2 linked regions of the Notamacropus eugenii genome follow. The protein of the gene in region 1 binds, or shares a complex with, the protein of each later gene. Links are inferred from orthologs where the notes say so. Each region holds a gene or a part of one and is shown in the gene's direction. Other genes may lie near its edges.

Evidence for each region. The genes of interacting proteins can lie anywhere in the genome.
Region 2: CHTOP (region 1) and SARNP share a complex: the UniProt entries of both Homo sapiens proteins name them as parts of the transcription/export (TREX) complex. The link is inferred for Notamacropus eugenii from reciprocal best matches to the Homo sapiens genes CHTOP and SARNP.

Annotation. Positions count from the first base shown.
Region 1 is NC_092873.1:377,594,847-377,605,622, forward strand, and holds the start of CHTOP (chromatin target of PRMT1 protein), read left to right. Parts: upstream 1-6,451; 5' UTR 6,452-6,721; intron 6,722-6,843; exon of another isoform or gene 6,844-6,964; intron 6,965-7,528; 5' UTR 7,529-7,545; coding exon 7,546-7,610; intron 7,611-9,684; coding exon 9,685-9,838; intron 9,839-10,475; coding exon 10,476-10,559; intron 10,560-10,776. Other genes in the region: S100A13 (protein S100-A13), read right to left, coding at 675-834; S100A1 (protein S100-A1), read left to right, coding at 4,323-4,463, 5,074-5,217. UniProt on the Homo sapiens protein: Plays an important role in the ligand-dependent activation of estrogen receptor target genes. May play a role in the silencing of fetal globin genes.
Region 2 is NC_092874.1:231,065,009-231,076,143, reverse strand, and holds the start of SARNP (SAP domain-containing ribonucleoprotein), read left to right. Parts: upstream 1-6,820; 5' UTR 6,821-6,829; coding exon 6,830-6,988; intron 6,989-9,465; exon of another isoform or gene 9,466-9,512; coding exon of another isoform or gene 9,513-9,539; intron 9,540-11,135. Other genes in the region: ORMDL2 (ORM1-like protein 2), read right to left, coding at 4,605-4,740, 5,359-5,510, 5,630-5,804, 6,548-6,681. UniProt on the Homo sapiens protein: Binds both single-stranded and double-stranded DNA with higher affinity for the single-stranded form. Specifically binds to scaffold/matrix attachment region DNA. Also binds single-stranded RNA. Enhances RNA unwinding activity of DDX39A.

The DNA of each region.
Region 1 (10,776 bases):
CCTGGGGAAGGGGGTATCTCCCTTTGTGGGTAATCAGGCTGACAGGCTCTATCTGGGCTCTAGCACACTGACACACAGGGCTTTTTAAAATGTCTCTGCCTCAGTTCTTCCTGAGGCATCTTCTTGAAATGAGGTTGGGCATCAGGGTGGGTCAGAGATGCTCTCTTCCCGCTCCATCAGCTAAGGGACCAAACGACAAAGTTGGTATTATCTCAACCAATGTCCTTCAACTCTCCCATGGAAAATATACAGATGTTTCTCTGTATAAAGGGCAGGAAGATACGCATCTTCTCCAAAATAGAGACAGTTCCACAGTGAAGCTAACGGTAATGGTCCTGGCTACAGGGCTCCTCCCATCTTTTAAGTTACGGAGTCAGAGGCTGGAACTAAGCTGCCAACTAACGATCTCTTTACAGCCCCCAGGGTTTAGTTCTCAGAGGACAGAGGGTTAGAGAAAAAGGGATATTCCAAGCCCTCTCTAACTTACATCTGACCTTCTTCCAACCTGTTCATCCCCTTCAAGGACCCTTCTACCCCCACTTTCAGAGCCCCAAAGTCACTTCCTGAACTCTCAGTTCCAGGACTGGGAGGAGGAGCCCGTCTTTCTCCTAGGGAAGAGGGTCCCTCATCCACCCCACTCCAAAAGGAGTAGGTGAAGTAGGTTTGATACTTACCCTCCGGGTTTGCCTCAAGAAGAAGCAGGGATGGGCTGAGGTTTATAAAAGCCCGGGAGGTGGAGCTGGGGAGACAGAGTCCTCTGTGTATATCCCGAGGTATAGAGTTTCCCGTGGTGAACTTCGGCAAAGGCACGCCCACCCACTCCTCCTCACCCATACGGCACTACCACCTTACCCGCTTTAACCCTGCCCTGAAGCAAACAAATGTCAAACCTCACTTTCCCGGTCTCAACCACCCTTCCAGCCCTAGCATCTTAGCCCCCAAGTATGTGCCTCTGACCTCCATTCAGCTCGTCCTTTAAATCCCTCCCGCTCACTTCCCATCTCCCTCTTATCTCCCCCACCCAGCCCCTCAAAAAGTCCTAATTCGTGCATCCCAGCTGGCTGTTGATGAAATTAAGAGCAAAGAAGGTAGTATCTGGAGATGAGGTCCCGATCTGAGAGACTCTATTGGAGGAGTCCCCTTCTTTTTCTGCTCATAAGGCATAATGACCATGCCTTGCCGCAATGGACAGTTACAGGGCGGTCCAAGGACCAGAAGACTTCAGCATCTTGCGGTCTCTGATCTTACCTCTCTCTCTCTCCCCTCTACTTTATCCTTCCTTGCCCTCTCTGTTCTGTGCCAGGGTTGAGCTGGCATCAAGATCAACTAAGAACCCCCGTGGATTGCTAGCATACATGTGGGGAAAGGAATTTTAAAAAAAACAAAACCAAAACTCTGACCTGGGGGAGGAGGTAAAACAGGGCCAGCTTGTCCCGACCCTGGAGACAGAGGGCGCTTCTGTCTGCTAGCTGGCTGTTTGCCCCACGGGCGGTCAGCCCGATGAGGGGGTGGAGCTAAAGGTAGGAGGGGGTGTCCAGAGTGGGGAGAAGGACGTCTGAAGTGAGAGCTCCCCACACCGGCTCTGGTCACAGGACACGTAGCTTCGTCCCTCTCATCTGTTCGCCCTTCAGCCCGGAACCCACCCGTGAGTATTCTGCTTTCTCGGATCCAGAGGGTGTGCTAACTACAGAGGGGATGGTGGTCTCCAAGAGTCTGGGAATGTTGCTCAGATAAAGGGGACTATCAGTGAGAGATAGGGGACTTTGGGGCCCAGTGAAGGATCTGAAGGGTCCATCCACGGAGGGAGGACGCAGTTACCTGAGGACTTAAATGGTGGGATGGGAGGACAGATTTCTCTTCTCTCCAAAAGCAATACAACCCATTCCTCATAGAATGATCCTTTCCAGCTGAGGAACCCCCAAGATTCCCCTCTCCATCTTTGGGGCTTCCTAGACCCCAGTTCATCTCTCTCTTGGGTTTGAGGGTGAAGGATTGAAACATCTGGGCCCTAGGCCTTTACTCTGCTTTGCTCATGCCCTAGCATGAGCCAAGTAGGAGACAGATAAGTTTTGACTAGGCAACTGTCCCCAAATCCAAGCTTTCTTCAACCCCCAAGGGCCCTGGGGTGGGGGAGAGGTTAAGATTACAAAGTAGAACAATTCCTTTACCCCGGGCCTGAGCCTATTCCCAAGTTTAAACCCCCAATAACATACAAACACAATAGATGAAAAGTTTCTATGAGTGGGCACCAAGGTGGGGGGTGGGGGATTCTAGGAAGGGAGTCCCATTCACCTCCTTCTCTACTCAGTAACCCACTGACTTCTTTTTCTTCTCTTTCTTTCCTAACTTCCTTACTTCTTCCCCTCCTCCCTCTGGCATTTTTCAGCTGTACCCTTAACAAAGTCTCTGAGCTGACACCTTTCAGAGATACTACATATCACACTGTACTCTCTAAGGCTTTCCAAAGGGTCCATAGGCATGTTTGTGGGGGAAAACTCAAGGTTCCCTTAGCCCCTCAGAACCTCCACATCAGTGATCAGTGATGGGGCTGGTAACAGGAGATGGCAGCCCCCCTTCCCCTTATCCCCCCATCAGACCCAAGCTTCAGGTTCCCATTCCACACATCCTCCCCCCTGCTTGGTCTCTGTGACAACCATCTCTCATGTCCGAAGTTCAGGTGACACAAGGGATCCATTGAGGAGCTAGAGTGTCATCCGAGAGGACCCATTGTCCATCCCCCCAGTCCTGGAGAAAGAGGTGAGAGATACCTGATCTAGGACACCTGAGATCCCGTCTGAGGATGGAGTGGGGGGAGGGAAGGGGAGAAGAAGGGGGAAGTGGTGCTGTTTACTCCTAGAGCTGAGGAGTGTCTGGGCTTTGAAGCCCCTCTCCAATGTCATAGCCCACTATAACCTCACACCTCATCCTCCTTCCTCCCCTCTAATTTCTTGCACCTTGCCTCAGATGGAACCTCAGGTATACAACTCCCCTGTCATTTCTGATCACCCCAACTACACTGCCACTCGTCCCCTTCTCAAGTTCAAGCTGCTGGTGGGGAAGAGGAGATTGTACTTGGAACCTTTTAGTTTCCCCACCTCCACCACACCCTGGAGCCCAGCTCTGGGAGATAAGGATCAAACATTCCATTCTCCATTCCCACCATCCAGGTCTGATGAGAAAGAGTTGGTTCTCAAGACAGACTTCAGTCTGACAGATTCTAAAGTATAGAAGGCAGGGGCAAGGGGCAAAGGAACTAAAAGTAGGGAGCATGCTAGAGGAGTCAAAGGGATGTGAGTAGGGGGTTGAGAACCCCTGGGCAGAGAGAGAATTTAGGGGCATCAAATATAAGAAATTAGGAAGAAGCATGAGTGTGACACTGCATAAGTGGTCCTTCATCCCTACCCCCCTTCATTCTCAGTATGGAGAGGCAGGGATAGTTGCAGAACAGACACCTAAGCCTAGGCAGAACACACTAGGCCTGTGATAAAAATAGCACCTGAGAAAGACTTGTCCGTTCCTAAGACCCACCCTCATTCCCATGGGCAGCTGCCCAGTGAGCAACATGTCCTTTTTGTCCATCCACTGCTGAATTCCTCCTGCTCCCTGATGCTGCCCAGTGTTCCCTGTTTCTACCCCTCAATCTAATGTACCCATAATGCCCCCCTCTTCAGAGGTCCCTCAGATCCTATCCTTCAACATCCGCCCTATTCCCCACTCTATCCCCACCTCTAGCCCCGTCTCTTTCCTTCCTTAGCCTTGAACCTTCAACTTCCTCCCTTTTCTCTGAACTTTTAGTTCTGTTTTTAGACCATGGGGAGAGGCAGCATAGTGTGCTAGAAAGAAGCCAGGGAAATCTGGGCTGTAGTTGCAGTTCTGCACTAACCAAATATATGATCTTGGGCAAGTCATTTCTCCTTGCTAGTCCTCAGTTTTTCTCATCGTTATCCCAGTTTACAGTCATCTATAAAATTAGAGAATTGGAATTCATCCCTAAGGTCCCTTACAGGTCTGAGGCTTATGATGCTTTAAAAAAAAAAAAGGGCTGAATTAATCAGTTCTTTTGGTTTCTGCTAAGAATGATGAGTATGTAAAATATTAATTTAAAAAATAATTAACAATGTTGAATATAGTCCTAGAGGATGGAATCCACATCATGAAGGATGGAGTCCAAATCATCTATATATGCATTATAATATAAGGACTTTAGGAGCCCAGGGCTCTCTTCTTTCCAGCAGCCCTGGGCCCTGATCCCTATTCCCTATCTCAACCTCACCCTGCTCTGGCCTGGTGGGGGGGTGGGGGTAGGTAGGTGTGTTGCAGCCATGGGCTCGGAGCTGGAGACTGCCATGGAATCCCTCATCAATGTATTCCACGCCCACTCTGGCAAGGAAGGTGACAAGTATAAACTGAGCAAGAAGGAACTGAAGGAACTACTGCAGGCAGAGCTTTCTGGCTTCCTGGATGTGAGTGTTTGGTGACTGCTTGGGTGAGGTGGAGGAGTACCCTGGGGCTCCTGGCCTGAGGGCCAGCTACAGGAAGACTCCAACTGCATGGGAAGCAGCTTCTACATTTCCCTTCTATCATGTTCCCAAACCCCATCTCAGTTCCTTCCTGTATCCCTCAAAGGCCTCTTAGACTCTCTCAATTTAAATCAATTCAACAAACATTTATTAAGGGCCAGTTATATGCAAAACACTGTGACAGGCATTGGAGAACCTAAAGATGAATCCCACTGCCCACTTCTGAAGGAGCTCATACTCTTTAAGTTGACTGGGGGATCCATTAAAAACATGAAGAAAGATACAAAGTAGTCCAAGTTCCAGTCCAGTCCAGCTTTCCCTTCCCATCCCACTCACACCCCTCTCACCTTCTCCTACATCTCCCTGTCCCTTGCCCTCAAATTTCAATACACTTGCCTGGTCCTTTTCACTCCCAGTTTTTTCCATGTCCATCCCAGTCATCTTCCATAGTCTGGCTCAAGTCAGTTGCTCCTCCCATTCTGTCCCAATTCTTCATGCCCCCTAAAGTCTTCCTGGCCCTCCATCACAGAAACCCCCTTCTCCCTTGTTCTAGACTCAGAAGGATACAGATGCAGTGGACAAGGTGATGAAGGAGCTGGATGAGAATGGGGACGGTGAAGTTGACTTCCAGGAGTATGTGGTTTTGGTGGCTGCACTCACTGTGGCCTGCAACAACTTCTTCTGGGAGAACAGTTGAGCAAGCAGTTCAGCCCTGGCCAGCACCAATAACCCTGTTCCATCTCTCCCCCCATCCATCCCCCCATTTCCACCTTCACCTCCCACATAGCCCTCTCTCTGCCCTCAGCCTCCCCCAGTTTACTGTCCCAGGCTGGACCATAGCATTTGTGGATCACTGCTCCATTATGCATTAAAGGCTCCTCTCCCAACAGTTGTGGTGTCTGTCTCCTTTGGGGGTTAGTGAAGAAGAAGGGCTAACTCTGCCTGAGGGCAGTTATTGGAAGGGGTCATGACTCTTCTGAAAATCCCTGGAGATTGGATATTTTGGGTTCCAGACCGATGGAGGAGGAGGGTAGACTTGTATAGTGTGCCTCATTTTCCCCTTTGAAAGGTGAGAAGGGGAGGAACCCTCTTTCCGAAAAGGACTAAGATTCTAAGACAGGTAAAGAGGGCTGATCAATCACCTGAGTCTCCCTCCACTTCATCAGGATGTAATCAAGGTTGAGTTGTTAATAAGGTAAAGCTGTACCCTAAGAAGGGATAGAGGTCCAAAAATCATTTAGGATAATAAGATCAAGAATTGAGACTTTTAAAACGTTTTTCATCCAGGAGCTCTCTTTGTGAACTGTTTGGTTACATCTGGCAGTCTGGCGCCAAGCACTTAATGTTTATCGATTGACTGGTGAAGATGGCCGACCCTCTCGGAATTCTTGTTTAAGTGCACAAAACGCGTACAATTACAAAAGCAGCCATTTACACTGAAATGATTGTCAAAATATTTTTAAAACAGTTTCTGAAGCCCAGGTTAAGACCCGACCTCTTCTACAGCCCAACTGTCACTGCACAGTGAAAGCGGTGCCTAATTAGCCACAGGTTAAACGGGGAAGCATAAACGGCAGCTTGGGATTAAACCTCGGTCTGCTCCTGGTTACAGCCCGGACAAGTGAGCGGCGAAAACAGGGCTGAGCCTGGGCGGGGAGGGAAGGACCCGGGTCTACCGCTGCCACCTGTTCTCACCCTGGGGGCACCGGGAGCGGGCACCTGACAGAGCCCGGGATTTCAGGGTCGGATGGGCACAAGACCAGGGTGTACAGTGTAAATGCCCGCTGGGTCTACAAAAGCACCAGGTAGTCACCGCCCCCCTCCTCCCCCCCGGAAACACGTGTTAGCAACCACGCCGGGGGCCGGGCCTACGACAGCCCCGCCCCTCGCGACGAGCGCGCGTCTCACACCAACGTCCACGCGCCGCCGCCATTTTGGCCACCGCCATTCCACTCCAAGCGTGGCGGCCATTTTGTTCGGGTCGCCGAGTGGGAGTGGGTTGCGGTAGCGGGCGAGAGGGCGGCCTGAAAGGACGAGGACCCAACAGCCAGCCCGTCACGCAAGCGGCTAACCACCCTCGGTCTCGGCCCAGCACCTCCAGCCGCCCCAGACAAGCCCAGCGCGGCCGGTCTCCGGCCCCACAACCGCAACCGCAGTGGCAGCGGCGGCCCCCGGCGGAGCGCTGGCGTCCGTGTCCTTTGGTGCGTGCGCGCGTGCGCGGCCGGGCCTGGGGCCTGGGGCGGGGGAGGGGGGCTGAAGAAAAACCTTGGATGGGGGGCTTGAAGAGGAAGGGGTAAGGTGGGGAGAAGGGAACGACCAAAGGGGGGGCGGGGGGCGCCTGTCACGTGACTAGAAAGCGCTGCGGGAGGCGAGCGATGGGCGGGGGCGGGGGGGGGGGGGAAGACGAGCTCGCGTGGCCGCGGAACGACCGAGGGAGCTAGAGGGTGAGGACGGAGGGCGGAGGAGGAGAGCGTTTGGGGGCCCCATGGCTGGGGAGCAGCACCCGAAGAATGACGGGGGGTGGGGCGAGGAGCCCCAGAGAAGGGGACCCTGGGGGCTGGGAGCGGGGGAGAGACGGAGGAGAGAAAAGGCCGGTGGAAGGTTTAGGCCGCCAAGTTTGAGAGAGAAGTCGGGGTGCCATGTATGCTTGGGTACGCAGTGTTAGTTGGTTTGGGGGTCCCAGGGCTCCGCGGAGGCGATCTGAGGAAGGCCGGGATGGAAGCTTTCGGGGGCAGTTGTGGAAGGGTCCTGCCACCGCCTCCCGATCGGTGCCCGTCAGTGAGGGGCCCTCCTTGATGAGCTGCTGGCCTCCTGGCACCCCCATCCCGGATTCTCGGCGGGGCGGCCCCCCTTGTTCACTGCGGGCCCCGCTTTGTGTCGTCGCGCCGCTCTCTCGGACGGCCGCTTCTGTTAGCGAGGCCGTTGTCCCTCTCCCAGCGGCTGCTTGTGTCGGCCCCCTGGGGTGGCATCCTTACCGTTGTGTTTAAACCGCCCGTTATCCTTTGCAGATTCCCGGGATCTGAAGATGGCTGCACAGTCAGCTCCGAAAGTTGTGCTAAAGAGCACCACCAAGATGTCTCTAAATGAGCGGTGAGGCAGCCACCAGAAACTTCAGCTCCTCCCTAAGGAAGCTTTACTTAAGTTGGCCCCGGGGTCCGATGTTCTCAAACCATCTTGGTTTCTGCCCAGTGTTTAAGTTAAAGCTAACTTAAATATCAACAGAAGGCTAACGACCTCTGTTCTTAAGTCGCCTCATACTGTGGTACGCGAAACAGAGTGGGCAATGTTACAGAACACGTTATCGGTAGCTGTGTACGTTAAATTATTTGAACCGTTAACCTGGTGGGATGTGTTTTAAACTCAAGCACTTCACACCCTCCCTTTTTCTTCATGTTTTTTACATTGATATAGGGGATGCTGCAGCACAGTAGCATGTTACCCTGGCCGTAGGAGGCTTGCTGCCCAGTCCAAGGCCGACATGATTGTGGTCCGGCCTGTAAGAGGCAGGTAGCAGGCCAAAACTCAGCCCAAAGGCTCTTGAATGCTGTTCTTGGGCCTTGTAAGAGGCACCCTCTTTGCTTCAACTCTGCATCTTTCAGTACTGCTTTAGGCTTTGTTTTTACTTCTTTTTCTGTTAAATGTTCTTTCCTGTTCATATTGACCTTTCATAGATGAGACTCATTGGAGTGTCATCACATTCTTAACCTAAGTTGTTGCGCTAATGCATGACTTTTTCAAGAAGATTCACTTGGGGTAATTAGGAGGGAAGCCATTTTAAGCCCAGGAAAGTAAAGCTGTTAAAATATAACACCATAAAGATTTCTGTTAAAATTTTTTATGGGGTTCCTTTAATTAAATGGAAGGTAAATTACAGTATGGGACAGAGCAAACTAGTGGGGAGGTGTTTCTTTTTTAAACTGTTAAGATTAATATTCACCATGAGAGGCAAGCATTACGTAGTAGATAGAGAATACACTTTTGGGTTGAAAAGATCCAAATTCAGGTCTTGCCTCTGACATTCTGGCTCTATAACTTTGAGCAAGTAATTTAATTTCAGTGCCCTGGGCAGCTCTCTTAAGATTTTTTTCTTTAAGTTAAGGCAGGGGTAAACCTGCCTTGGTAGAGGGAGCCTCATTACTGATAGCTCTCTATACCAGTGGAATCATTAAGTCCAGGCCAAAAAATGTTCAACATGAAGGCTCCTCTGGGTGTGGATAGATAAGCCATTTGAGTCAGGAAAGCCTGGGTTCAAGGAGCCACTGACTGTGACCTTAGGTCACCTAACCTCCCAGAATTCTCAGATGAGAGGTGTTTGTTTAGGGAGCCTGACTTAAAGTCAGACCTCAGTGGAGTCTCACCTAAAAATCTTAGTAACTGTGTGACCTTTAACAAATTACTAATTATCCTATCTGGGCCCCAGTTCCTCTTCTATAAAATGAGGCAGTTGGAATACATTTGGCCCTGAGATCGTCGTGATCCTGAGTTTCAGAGTAAGTGCTGTTCTGTGTTGGTAAAGGGAATTTCCTGCACTGATAAAATCATAGGTGCTGGGACTCTCCTCTAAAAATTTTCACCATTTGCCCTAGTTTCTGTCTTAGTTCATGGCATGTGATGAGATTATAAAATGACTGTATTTTACATGTAACTAGATTGACAGAGACAATGGGAAAATTTGATACACTCCTCTGTTGATATGATGGCATCATTTCCATGGACTTTAGAGGGTACTATAATCGGTCCACATTCACCCATAAGGTGCACTTCAGACCAATTGCCTCTAAAATTACTTATCTGATTTACCCCACCCCAGAGTATTTGTTTTTGTCTTCTTCTGATTCTTTGTAACATCTTCTGTTTTCCTGTCATCACCATATCTGCTTATTTCATGTTTTTCATTCCTTCCACTTTTCTAAACGCAGTAACCTAAGCCCTTGTTATCACTTTTGAATGAATGTACTGCACTTACCTGCATTTCTAAGTTTCTGATTCTTGCACGTTTGTGGAAACAGAGGAGTCCTTGACCCACATCAGCCTTGACCTAAGCGTACCACTTTACATAAAGTTCGTGGGATCTGGAGCTCCTGGTCTAGAGAGCCATGAAAATGCCAATAAATGTTTTGTAATAAAGCTTTTATTTAAACACCCATTTTGTTCGACCTTGAAGCTTTACTAATATGCTGAAGAACAAACAGCCGATGCCAGTGAATATTCGGGCTACGATGCAGCAGCAACAGCAGCTAGCCAGTGCCAGAAACAGAAGACTGGCCCAGCAGATGGAGAATAGACCCTCTGTCCAGGCAGCATTGAAACTTAAGCAGGTGAGAGAGTAGGTCATAATCCTCCAGAGGCAGCTGGTGATGCCTGTCAGGCAGCCCTACTGATGGCTGTACAGGATATGGTGGATTATTACAAGGTGCCTCAGGGTAAGAGCTGAGGATTTTCTGGAGGGAAAAAGGAGTTAAAGAGCATTTTATTTTGGTTGATAAGTACAAATAAGTAACTAGCTGCCTTTCTCTTTGGGGGCTGGCAATTTAGTGTGGCCTGGATCATGTTGTAGGTACTAGTGTGTTGTAATTTTCTATTTTTTGGGACTTCCTCAAGAAATCTAATCAAGTTTCTTGGCATCTCATATCTCCTCTTTATTCTCATTGTTGTGGTATTGTTAAATGACTTAAAAGCTAGGAAAATAGGCTTTTTATCTCTTCTCCCACCACCCCAGAAATTCTGAATAGTCTTAATTTATTTGTATTGACAATGCTAAGTAACTTGGGAAACAAAGTGATTTTAAAGCTAATGAAGGAAGCCACTCCCAATGTAACTGGTATATCTAGACAAAAACAAGAAGTCTGAATATATGATTAGAGAAGACTATGGTTTTCAGCCTAAATTTCCAGTAAGGCACAATCCATATTTCCACCTAGGTCTGAAGTAAAACCTGCTCTTTATTATTCATAGACTGTGTATGCAAGTCCGGAGAGTGGCTGTGGAAGGATATGTCCAAGCTGTGGCTGGCAGTCTGGAGGCCGGTGCCATGCAACTGTAAGGACTTTAAATGGGAGCACTTGCATGGCTGTGCTTAGCTCTAGTTAAATATAACACACACTCTGAACCACTAGACTCACTGGCCAAAAATAAACAAAGCTTTCAGCTTCAGCTACCACAGAGTAGCTAAAGTATTTTTTCATTTAAAAAAAATGATGGTAGGTACCGCTAGCTTCTTCAGAGAGTTCAAAATGAGGGCAAGTTCCTAGAGATA
Region 2 (11,135 bases), on another chromosome or scaffold:
TTTTCACCCTTTGTCTTTGTAGGTTCATCCTGACAAGAACCACCACCCGAGGGCTGAAGAGGCCTTCAAGGTGTTGCGGGCTGCCTGGGATATTGTTAGTAACCCTGAGAGACGGAAGGAATATGAGATGTGAGAAACAGAAAAAGAAAATGCTATGTGAGGGTGGAATGTGTCAGAGGCAGTGAGGGCCCTTGCGGCTGGGGGAGTAGGATGTTGCTCAGCTTCTGTTGCTGGCTGGAGAGAAGTGTAGTAGATAGAGCTAGAAGGGATCCCAGAGGCTCCAGTCTAATTCCTTTATTTTAAGATGTGGGAAACTGAGGTCAGAAGATGTTAAGTGACTGGCTACCCAACGATTTACTTATTTTTTCCTTAGTGCTCTGTGGCTAACATCATTTCTCTTTTACCCACAGGAAACGGATGGCAGAGAGTGAGTTGAGCAGGTCAGTGAATGAATTTCTGTCCAAGCTGCAGGATGAACTCAAGGAGGCCATGAATACTATGATGTGTAGCCGGTGTCAAGGGAAGCACAGGTGAAAAACATGGGGCGTGGCGGAGGATAGACGTCAGAGATGGATGGGTATTATAGCTCAGAGATAGGACAATTGAAGTGTCTTTTCATTTCCCTTCAAAGCTTTTTATGGGTTTTTATAAGGATTTGGAATTGGTGGTTGTGAACCAGAGAATAAAAAAGCCTTGGGACTGGGGATGTGGTTCAGCATATAGTTGAGCAAAGGGAGAATAATAATTTAATTATTAGGTAGAAAGGACACGGTCCTTCTGGACATGTCTAATAAGTGGTGCTGTCAGCACAAATCGTTTGTTAAAGTCAAGATAATGACTTGGCCATACTTAGGACTAACGTGAGGTTTTTGTGTTCGGGGACAGGAGATTTGAAATGGATCGAGAGTCTCAGTATGCTCGATACTGTGCTGAGTGCAACAAGATGCATCCTGCTGAGGAAGGTGACTTCTGGGCAGAGTCAAGCATGTTGGGCCTCAAGATCACTTATTTTGCCATGATGGATGGAAAAGTATATGACATCACAGGTATACTCCAACCCTGCCTCAGGATAGGTTAGAATGTCGGTAACAGACACCATACACAAGAATAAAGTCTAAATGCATACATGATCTAGGTATAAAGATTGATACTATAAACAAATTAGGGGAGGAAGGAATAGTATATTTGTCAGATTTGTGGAGAATGGAGAAATTTATGATCAAACAAGAGATAGAGAACATTATGAAGTGCAAAATGGGTAATTTTTATTACATTAAATTGGAAAGTTTTGCACAAACAAACCCAATGCAACCAAGATTAGGAGGGAAGCAGAAAACTGGGAAAGAATTTTTGCAACTAGTGTCTGTGATAAATGCCTCATTTGTAAAATACAGAGAACTGAATCAAATGCACTATACAAGTCATTCCCCAGTTGATAAATGGTCAAAGGATATGAACAGGCAGTTTTCAGAGGAAGAAATTGAAGCTATCTATAGTTATATGAAAAAACGCTCTAAATCACTATTGATTAGAGAGATATAAATCAAAACAATTCTGAGGTACCACATCACACCTGTCAGATTGGCTAACATGACAAAACAGGAAGATGATAAATGTTGGAGAAGATGTGGGAGAGTTGAAATACTAATTCATTGTTGGTGGGGCTGTGAGCTGATCCACCCAACCTGGAGAGCAGTTTGGAACTATGCCCAAAGGGCCACAAAAATCTGCATACCCTTTGATCCAGCAATATCACTTTTAGGACTGTATCCCCAAGAGATCATAGAAATGGGAAAGGGTCCTACATGTACAAAAATATTTATAGCAACTCTCCGTGTAGTGGCCAAAAACTGAAAATCAAGGGGATGCCCATCAATTGGGGAATGGCTGAACAAGTTGTGGTACATGAATGTAATGGAATACTATTACTATAAGAAATAATGAACAGGACTTCAGAGAGGCCTGGAAGGACTTATATGAACTGATGCTGAATGAAAGGAGCAGAACCAGGAGAACTTTGTACACAGTAACAACCACAGTGTGTAAGGAATTTTTCTGGTAGACTTAGCCCTTTACAGCAATGCAAGGACCTAAAATATTCCGAATGGACTCTTGAGGCAAAACGCTTTCCACATCCAGAGAAAGAACTGTGGAATTGGATTGCAGAATGAAGCAGAATATTTTCTCTTGTGTTATGTTTTGTTTTTTTCTCATGGTTTCTCCCATTCATTTTAATTTTTCTCTGCAACATGACTAAGGTGAGAATGTGTTTAATAAGAATGTATGTGTAGAACCCATATAAGATTGCATGCCATCTTAGGGAGGAATGGGGAAGGGAGAGTGAGAAAATCTAAGACTTATGGAAGTGATTGTAGAAAACTGAAAACAAATTAATAAATAGAAAAAAAGAATGGGTAACAGAAGGGCCAGAATGTTTAGTTGTCTGTGATGCTGGATAATGTGGAAGCTATATAGTCTTAGGAGGGCCACTAGGGGGTGCAGTGGATTGAGTGTCAGGCCTGGATTTAGGAAGACTCATCTTTGTGAGTTCAAATCTAGCCTCAGACACTAGCTGTGTGACTCTGCTCAAGTCACTTAACCCTGTTTGCCTATTTTTTCATCTGGAAAATGAGCTGGAAAAGGAAATGGCAAACCACTCCAGTATTTCTGTCAAGAAAACTCCAAATGGGGTCAAGAAGAGTCAGACACACCTGAAACAACTGAACAAGTCTTAGGAAGGGCCTGGACATATAGTTACATAGAATGGAGTTTGGATATTCACTTGGGTTGAGTTGTACTGTTTTATCTGCCTCCCTCTTGTTTGCAGAATGGGCTGGGTGCCAGCGTGTGGGGATTTCCCCTGATACCCACAGAGTCCCCTATCACATCTCATTTGGGTCCCGGTTTCCTGGTCCTGGTGGGCGGCAGAGGTAGGTAGTGTTTTTTTCCCTGCCTGTTGTTTCAGAGAACTGGTTATACAGAACAGTTTAGTATCCCAGTGTATCCTGGCCAATGACTTGGTACTTTTACTTAATAAGTAAAACATCTGTGTATCTTTAGGAATGTTCATCTCCTCATCACAATATTTGTTTTACTGCAGAGTCACTCCAGATGCCCCCCCAGCTTCAGTTGCTGACCTTCAGGATTTCTTCAGCCGGATCTTTCAGGTTCCCCCAGGCCAGATGCCCAATGGAAATTTCTTTGCAGCTTCTCAGCCTGGCCCTGGGGCCACCCCACCCTCCAGGCCAGACAGTTCCACCACATCCAAAGGTTCAGAAGCCAAACCGAAGCGGCGGAAAAAAGTGAGGAGGCCCTTCCAGCGCTGATGCCCTGTCTCTTCCTCTTCTCTACCCTCCTCAGCTCAGTGTCAGGGAATCATAAGGGCTGTGTACAGCATAGGATGGAACTTGTTTTGTTTTTTAAAAAATTTTCAATATTCAAAAAGTTTCAAGCATTACCTGTTCACTCAGTGACTTGTGGGAAGCCACTGAATCCCCACTCTGGGAACTAAGAACTGAATCTTGTTTGATGACAATACCAAAGAAATAGTGGGGTGGTTGGCAGGAAGGGCCCTGTGCCTAGACCATGGCTAGGATTGGGACTGATGAGTATTTTGTGTGGGACAGAGCTCTCTAGGGTTTGGGGGGGGGCTCTTATATTGTCCCTCCTTCCGAAGGCCAGGGTGGTACTCATTCTGTTGTTAACTTGGACCTTTGTTTCTGGGCCTTCTCCTCTATCATCCATGTGAGGAGGCAAGTGGCCCTTATATTCAGGGGTGGGTAAAAGCCCAGGACCATTCAGGGAATGGAAATGCTGCCTCTTTCTGTTCTATGGTTCCTACCTAACCTCAGGGTTGTTTCTGCAAGGATGGCTGATTTGACAATTTTTTTTTAAAGCAGACTCAAGTCCCCACGCCCTTGGTGGGTAGGAGGCAAAAAAGCAAGTTTGGTGATGGTGGTGGTGGGGTTGTCCCCAGCTATCCCTATGTAATCAAAAGGTTTTTTTTTAAGTTTGTTCATATTTGTATGTACATATCTATTTAAAGCCAGGGGATTTACCTTTCTATAAATATAACTGGCAAGCTATGCCTACCTCTTTTGTGTGCCCACTTGCCCTGACCCTATTTTCTACATGATAAGAGTTACTAATCTCTGATGATTGCTCTTGGTTGAGTGGGGACAAGAAACAGTTTCAGGGAGGCATGGGATATGATAATAATCAGAAAGAGGTTTATTTTCAATTTAAGATTGGGAAGAATGTAGTCTTTTCGCCCTCCTTCACCTCCCACAAAGTTCTGCTGACTACCCTAGATTTACATCTGAAAAATAGCTTTTATTATATAGCAGTGATGTAGATAGTTGGAAAAGATAAACTATAGCACCAGCCAGGAGAGTGGGCCCAGCCCTTACCCATATTTCTTGATTCTAAGGAACCTGCCCTTACTTGTACAGGGGAGTCATCCTACCCCCAAATTCATCTCCCTGGAGTTGGCAAAAAAAGATCAGTTGATCCTCAGGTCTTCAGCTGCTAAAGGGAAGGAGGATAGAGCAGCTCTTTGTTCCTTGTCCTTCCCTAGCCTGTACCTAAGTGATCATTGCCAGGTGTTAGTACTTATTGATGCCAAAGAGACGGACACCATGGAACTGGGGTAACTTAGGCAGTAGTACACTGAGCAGTGAAGCTGTATTGATGACAAAGTGAGCAGCATCATATTTGGTGTAGAAGCTGGCCAGGAGGTAGCTGGGGAGAGAAAGAAGAACATGATGAAAAAGAGGGACCTTTCCCTGACCTCTTTTTGTTCTTTCTACCATCTTCCCCTAAGTCAGTTTTGTTATTTCCTTAAATGACAGCTCTATCTCACTATTGCCACATGAACAGCATTTCTCTTGAATGGGAAGTAGTTTATAGATTCTATAGATTTATAGACAGTTTATAGCAAAATGTGTTGATCAATGGAAAATGAAAGAAGGGTCAAGCTACAGTACTGCAAATGTCCCCTTGTCTCTGACATTACCCTCTTCCTTTTAAATCAATTATACTTTCATTTGTTGTACACTTGAACAAAGTCTTGCACCACAGAATCTAGGTGAGGATTTCTTTGAAGTTTTCCCAGATGCTCCTATCCCCATTACCACCACAGGGAGGCAGCAAGCCTATTCGTGGCTTTCATACTTTGGATTTCATAATTGGTGAACTGAACACCCTCTATCCTCCTAGCATGGTTAGATCATAGTTTTTCAGTGAGTTTACAGAGATTCTACCCCTTGTGGTGGTACCTTCCACTTAACTGATGTCCCCTTGGGGGGCCTTTGCAACACCTACTCTACCTAGCTTCTCCCTCACCCTCCTGGAACTCACAGCACAATGGGAAAAATACTGAGGAACTTTCTGGAGGAGGTGAACTGGAGCCCATAGTCCATCTGCTCCCAGTGTGTAAGGAGCCGGGCCTTGCCTTGGTCGGGGGTCTCAAAGGGTGTCCCCTTCACAGTGTGCAGAAAGACGTACATGGCCTGGGAGGGGGTGAGAAGGTAGAAGAAATCCTTTTCAGCTATGGATTTGAGGCAGGTGGGCAAATCCCCAAAGAATTCAAGTCTGGATAAGAGAAAATGAATTTAGGCTGGAGGCTCACCAGGTTATGGATGACGTTGGTCAAGGTCCAGACCACTGGGATGCTGAAGAAGGGGATGCTGAGTAGAACCACATGTAGAAGCCCTACTAGGATGATGTAGGCTAGCCAGATGCCTCGGCTGTTCATCACCCTTGTGTTGGGGTTCACCTCGCTGTGGGCCACCCCCACGTTCATCCTGCCACAATAGTGAGTCAGGAGCTGGACTCACCGGGGTTCTCTTTCCTTTGGTCTGCCTCCCTCGGTTACCGGTTTGGTGACTGCAATGAACCTTGAACTTGGGGGGAGGAGGAGGGGAAGGCGCTCCTCTGGTATACTGAGGCCTGAGAGATAAAAAGCTTTCTGGGATGAGGGGAATCTAACTTTAGCCTGAAGGGAACAGCGGGGGAAGGGGCCGTAGTTGGAGGCGAAAAGGGGGCATGGAGCACTTCCTTTCTATAGAGGGGAATTTGGGGCAGTCCTCTCGTCTTCCGGGGGTGGGCAGGAGAATCAGATCAGGTGAGTCCAAGGGGAGGTGCTCAGGAGGTAGACGTGCTCGGGAACGATACCTCTCCCCTCCCATTCTCTGTCCGGGGCTGCCATGGACGACAACCTCGGCGGGGGGAGCTGCCATTGGCCTTTCTGGAAAATGTAGGAAGCTGCGGGAGCACGTTGTGGGCCTTCCGCCGCCCGGGGTGGGGGCAGGCAGAGCAGGCGCTCCGGGAACCGCCCCCCGCCCCCCCCCCGAGGCGCACTACGAAGGGGCGTTCAAATCTCCTTCCTCCAGACGAGCCGGCAGCCCACGGCCGAACCCAGCCGATCCCCGAGTCCCAGTGACCCTTGGGCTGTAGCCCGGGGCCCCATCCCTGCCCCTCAAAGCTCGCCGTCACGGCCTGTCTCCGCTCCTCTCGGAGTCATCCCCTCACTCCCAAATCCCCTCACCTGGAGGCTCCAAGGGCCACTCCGCCAGACGCAAGTTCGGCTACTTTACCTAGTCCACCTGTTGTGTCCTGGAAGCGGCCGTGCCCTCGAACTGTCCCCATTGGCCCTCCACGCCCGGCGCTGCCGTGGCTCATTGGCCACCCGTTTCGATGTTCTGTGTTTCGTTAGTCAGCGGGCCTGTCACTCTGGTGGGAGGGAACCAACCCTTCTCCAATCCCCTTCTCCGGCAGACCGTCGCGTGGGGGAGGACCCATGCTGGCGGCCGACGAATGAAAAAAGCTGATGGTAAAGAGTGGGAGTATAAACAACGGCTATTGGGTGGTGGTGATCCTCGGAGTCTCGGCGGGAGCTCCAGAAGGCGGAGGCAGGAGAGGGGGGCAAACTGGGGGAGGAGGGGGTGACAAGATGGCGGCGGAGACGGTGGAGCTCCACAAGCTGAAGGTACCGTGAGGGGCAGAGGCCCGGGCATGGCTGGGGGCCGAGCTCTACGAGGTGACCGGCGCCTCCCTCCCCTCATTTCTCCCTCCGGGGCTCCCCTCACTGTCGTCCCGGTCCTCTCCCTGTTAGGCTGGTCTCTGGGGCCTTCTTCCTCTCCTCTCGTGCTGCCCCCCCCTCTCGTTCCTTCCCCCTGCCATCTTTTCTCTCCGTTCGGGGTGCCCCTCTCCTTACCGCTTCTCCCTCCCCCCTTTCTGCCGAGAATGTGTGTTTGCCTCTCCCCTTGCGAGGAGGCAGGAGAGGTAGCAGCACGTCATACCCCCCTCGCCTCTGTCCCCTTCCTCTCTGCCCCCGACCCCCTTTCCTTCCCCAGGTCTCCTCTCCATTCCGAGTCTAGGAGTCCCCAGCAAGCTGGGGTAGCGGCACCCACGTGCGTTTGTGTGTCTGTCCAGCTCGCCCGGACGACTCAGGGACGCCCCAGTTCCTTCCTCAGAGGTGTTATGGTACCTGAGTCCAGCCTAGAAGCCTGGGAGAGCCCGGGAATGGGGACCACCGGCATCCCCTCCCCGCACCTCAGGCACTCGATGGCACTGGGGTCACCTCAGAAGAAGAGGGAGGTTTTTTTTTTCTTTTGCAAGATAAGGAAGGGAGCTGGGGAAGCTTTTTGAAAAACAAACTCAGTTTTCCCTATTATCCTCCACCTCCTTTTGTGTCATCCTCTGGGAAATATAGGATGGTTGACAAAGATTTTAGTATTATTTACTTGGGGAGAAGAATTAACCTCCTATAGGTAAAAGAGATATATTGGTTGATTTTAGGTGTTCGTTCAGAATTTGGCAAACAGTCCCCCTGTCAGGTAGTGATTATTCACTTCCTTTTGGGAAACAAGCTAAAAACCGATTTCCTTTATTATATAATACATTAAGTGCTCTATAAGATTTGCAACCTGGCTTGTTGATGCTGACAATCTAAAGCATATCTAATAGGAAAAAATAGTTTATGATTTCTTGGATATACTCTTGAGATAGGCACTACTAAAACATGCTTAGCCCTAGCAGCATGGACTTTTATTTTCTTGGATTCTGCTTGGCTTAACCGATTTTATTCTTATGGTATCATTTGTTGAGAGTGTAAGGTTGAATTATAAGCTTTCCATTTCCATGGCATGTCAGTTTTGCTTTTTTCTTTTCCTGGACTGATGCCGGCCATCAGAGTCTACTGTAAAAGAACATAGAGAAGGAGTAGGAGAGGAGCCTGTCCATATGCCACAGAAATTCTTAACTTTTTTAGTGTCATTGACACCATTAGCAGTCTGGTGAAGCCTGTAATCCTGTTCTTAGAATAATGTATTTAAATGCATAAAATAAAATGCATAAGATGTAACCAATTATTTTGAAGTTCAGTTATTTAAATATTTTTAGAAGTAAGTTCACAGACCCCAGGTTAAGAACCCCTGCTCTAGAAACAACTGAGTCTTCTTTTCCCTCATGAAATGCTATTTCTCACCTCTCACAGCATCTAAAGGAGTTTGGCGTAGTTGTTACTTATATTGAAAGAATCTTCCCTTGTTATTTGCTGTATGGGAGGGCTTCTTAATCATGGGGGATGTTGGCAGATTTCAGAGGGTCCATGAACTTGGATGGGGAAAAATGTTGTTTCACTGAACTTTCACTGGAATTTAGCATTTCCTTCAATTATATAAAAACACTGTGAGGAGTCTATAAGCTTCACCAGACTGCCAGAGGTATCAGTGACAGAAAATAAGGTTAAGAACTCCTGCTTTGGAGCTTAACATTTTAATTTTTCTAGCTTACATGTGAATGTAAAATTTTCTTGAGAAATAAGATGTTTAGTTTGGGTGACATTAGCTTACTTTAATTGAGCTTTTAGAGATAATTAGAAAAGAATGCTCAGAAGTCCACCTTTTACTTAATTTTAATGAAAAAGACAAGGTATGGACTGAAATAACCACACTGGTTAAAAGGATATGCAGATTTGTCATATTTGCTTTCAAATTTTCTTTTTTGTCTGTGAACAGAAGTCCTTAAATAAAGACCTTTGAGGACTGGAGGCCTTCTGTTTCAGTAAAGTGTGCACTAATGAGATTTCCTAGCCCTGGGATCAATTCCTGCCACTGACACCTACTAGCTATGTGACCTTGGCCAAGTCACGTATCCTCCCTGGGCTTCAGTTTTCTTTTCTGTAAAATGAGGGGGCTAGAATACATGCCTTCTCAGGTCCCTTCCAGTTCTAGCACTATAATCTCTTGATTTCTATTCTCTTGAAATGATTATTCATTTTTGACCCTATCTATACTATTGACTTTAAATTTGTGAAAAATGTAAAGAAATGCAACCACCACAAAATACAAACTGGCCAGGGAGAAAGCTAAATGGTAGAGAACAATGTTTGTTAAAATACAGGGATGGGGACTGGATCTGTGATTTCATTGTTATATTGGTTTTCCATTAATTCTAGCAGCTTCTTGGCTTGTCTTTCATAATGTCTTGACTACAGTCACAACTCCTGGATGAGGAAACTCCCTCTACTAATGCAGGTTGGCATCTTCTCTGAAACTTGTAGTCTTAGAGAGTTGCTTAGGGAAGTGAAGTGACTTGCCCAGGATCACACAGCCAGTATGTTTCAGAGGCAGGACTTGACCTCAGGTTTTCCTGGGATAAGCTTGTGTGTCAAGTGCCACACAGACCACTATAGGAATAGTGGTAAAGCCAAACTATATCGTGGGAATTCATTTAAGTAGTGAATACATTGACTGTCCTTTTGCGGATAGTGTGGTATTGTGGCACAGTGGAAAGAGCATTGATTCTAGAGTCAGACTTGGGTTCATATCCTACCTTTGATGCTTCCCACCTGTGTCACTTTAGGCATGAATTATTTAATCTCCTTGGGCTTCAGTTTCCTCCTCTGTAAAATGAGGGTGTTGAACTTAGATGGCTCTGGGGTCCCTTCCAGCTCTGTATCTATGACTTTTAAGTTCTTTATTTGCTCTCTGCCCTTTTTCATAGATCTATATTTTAAGAGCTACTTTTGACAGTCACTTGAGCAACTATGGATTGCTTGTTATGTAGTAACACTATAAATGTTATGGAAGAAAACAAAATTATAAGTCAAGGTAAGGTACCTGTCTTTGAAATATAATATAGTTGATAGAGATAAATATACACATATGAAATTACTTAAACAGAATTTTCATTTTAGGCTGCTATATTTTAAAGAGACATGGACAATAATATTAGCTTATGTGTCTATATAGTACTTCATGGCTTATATCCTCAACAATGTTGTGAGATAGGTAGTGTTAAGTGTTATTATTTCCATTTTATAGATGAAGAAACTGAAGTGCATGTTAATGGACTTGCCTGTGGTTGTACAACTAGTTAATGTCAGATCCAGGATATGAATTCTGTTCCGACTTCAAGTCAAGTGTTCTTTTTCCTTACTCCACACCATCTCTCAAATTAGAGCATGTCTATAGTTAGATTGTCTGGAATGGTGAAAGGTCTGGAATCCGTGTCATGTAAGGATTGCTTAAAGGAACTAAGTATGTTTAATTCAGGGAAGGGAAGACTTGGGTATGTGATAGGTGTTGTCAGTTTTTTTTAATTTTTAAAAGTTTTGTTTCTGTTTTTCTCTATTGTGTTCATACCACAATTTTTTCCTCTTAAGTTCCTCTACCCGCTCCCCCCCCATTGATTTCCTATAACAAAAAAACAAAAACAAGTAAGTACAGCTGTGGTATGTATCGCATTCCACATCAATAGTCTCCATCTTAATATTGAGGGGAGGAAGGTATGTTTCTATATTAGTTCTTTGAGTGAGAGATTGTTCATTACAGTTCATAGTTCAACTACTTTTTACTATTATTTTCCTTTACGTTAATACTCATTGTGCATATGATTTATGTAGTTATGTTTTCTTCACTCTGAATCAGGTCATACAAGTTCTCTTGATTTCTTGATATTTTCATTTCTGTCATTTCTTTCTGCACAATTTTTCATTATGACAATTTTTCATTATGTTCACATATTACCATGTGTCCAGCCATTCCTCAGTCAAGGGAAGCCCTTTTTGTTTGCATTTTATTGCTAATAATAGCTAGCATTTTATTAATGCTTTAAGGTTTGCCAAGTAC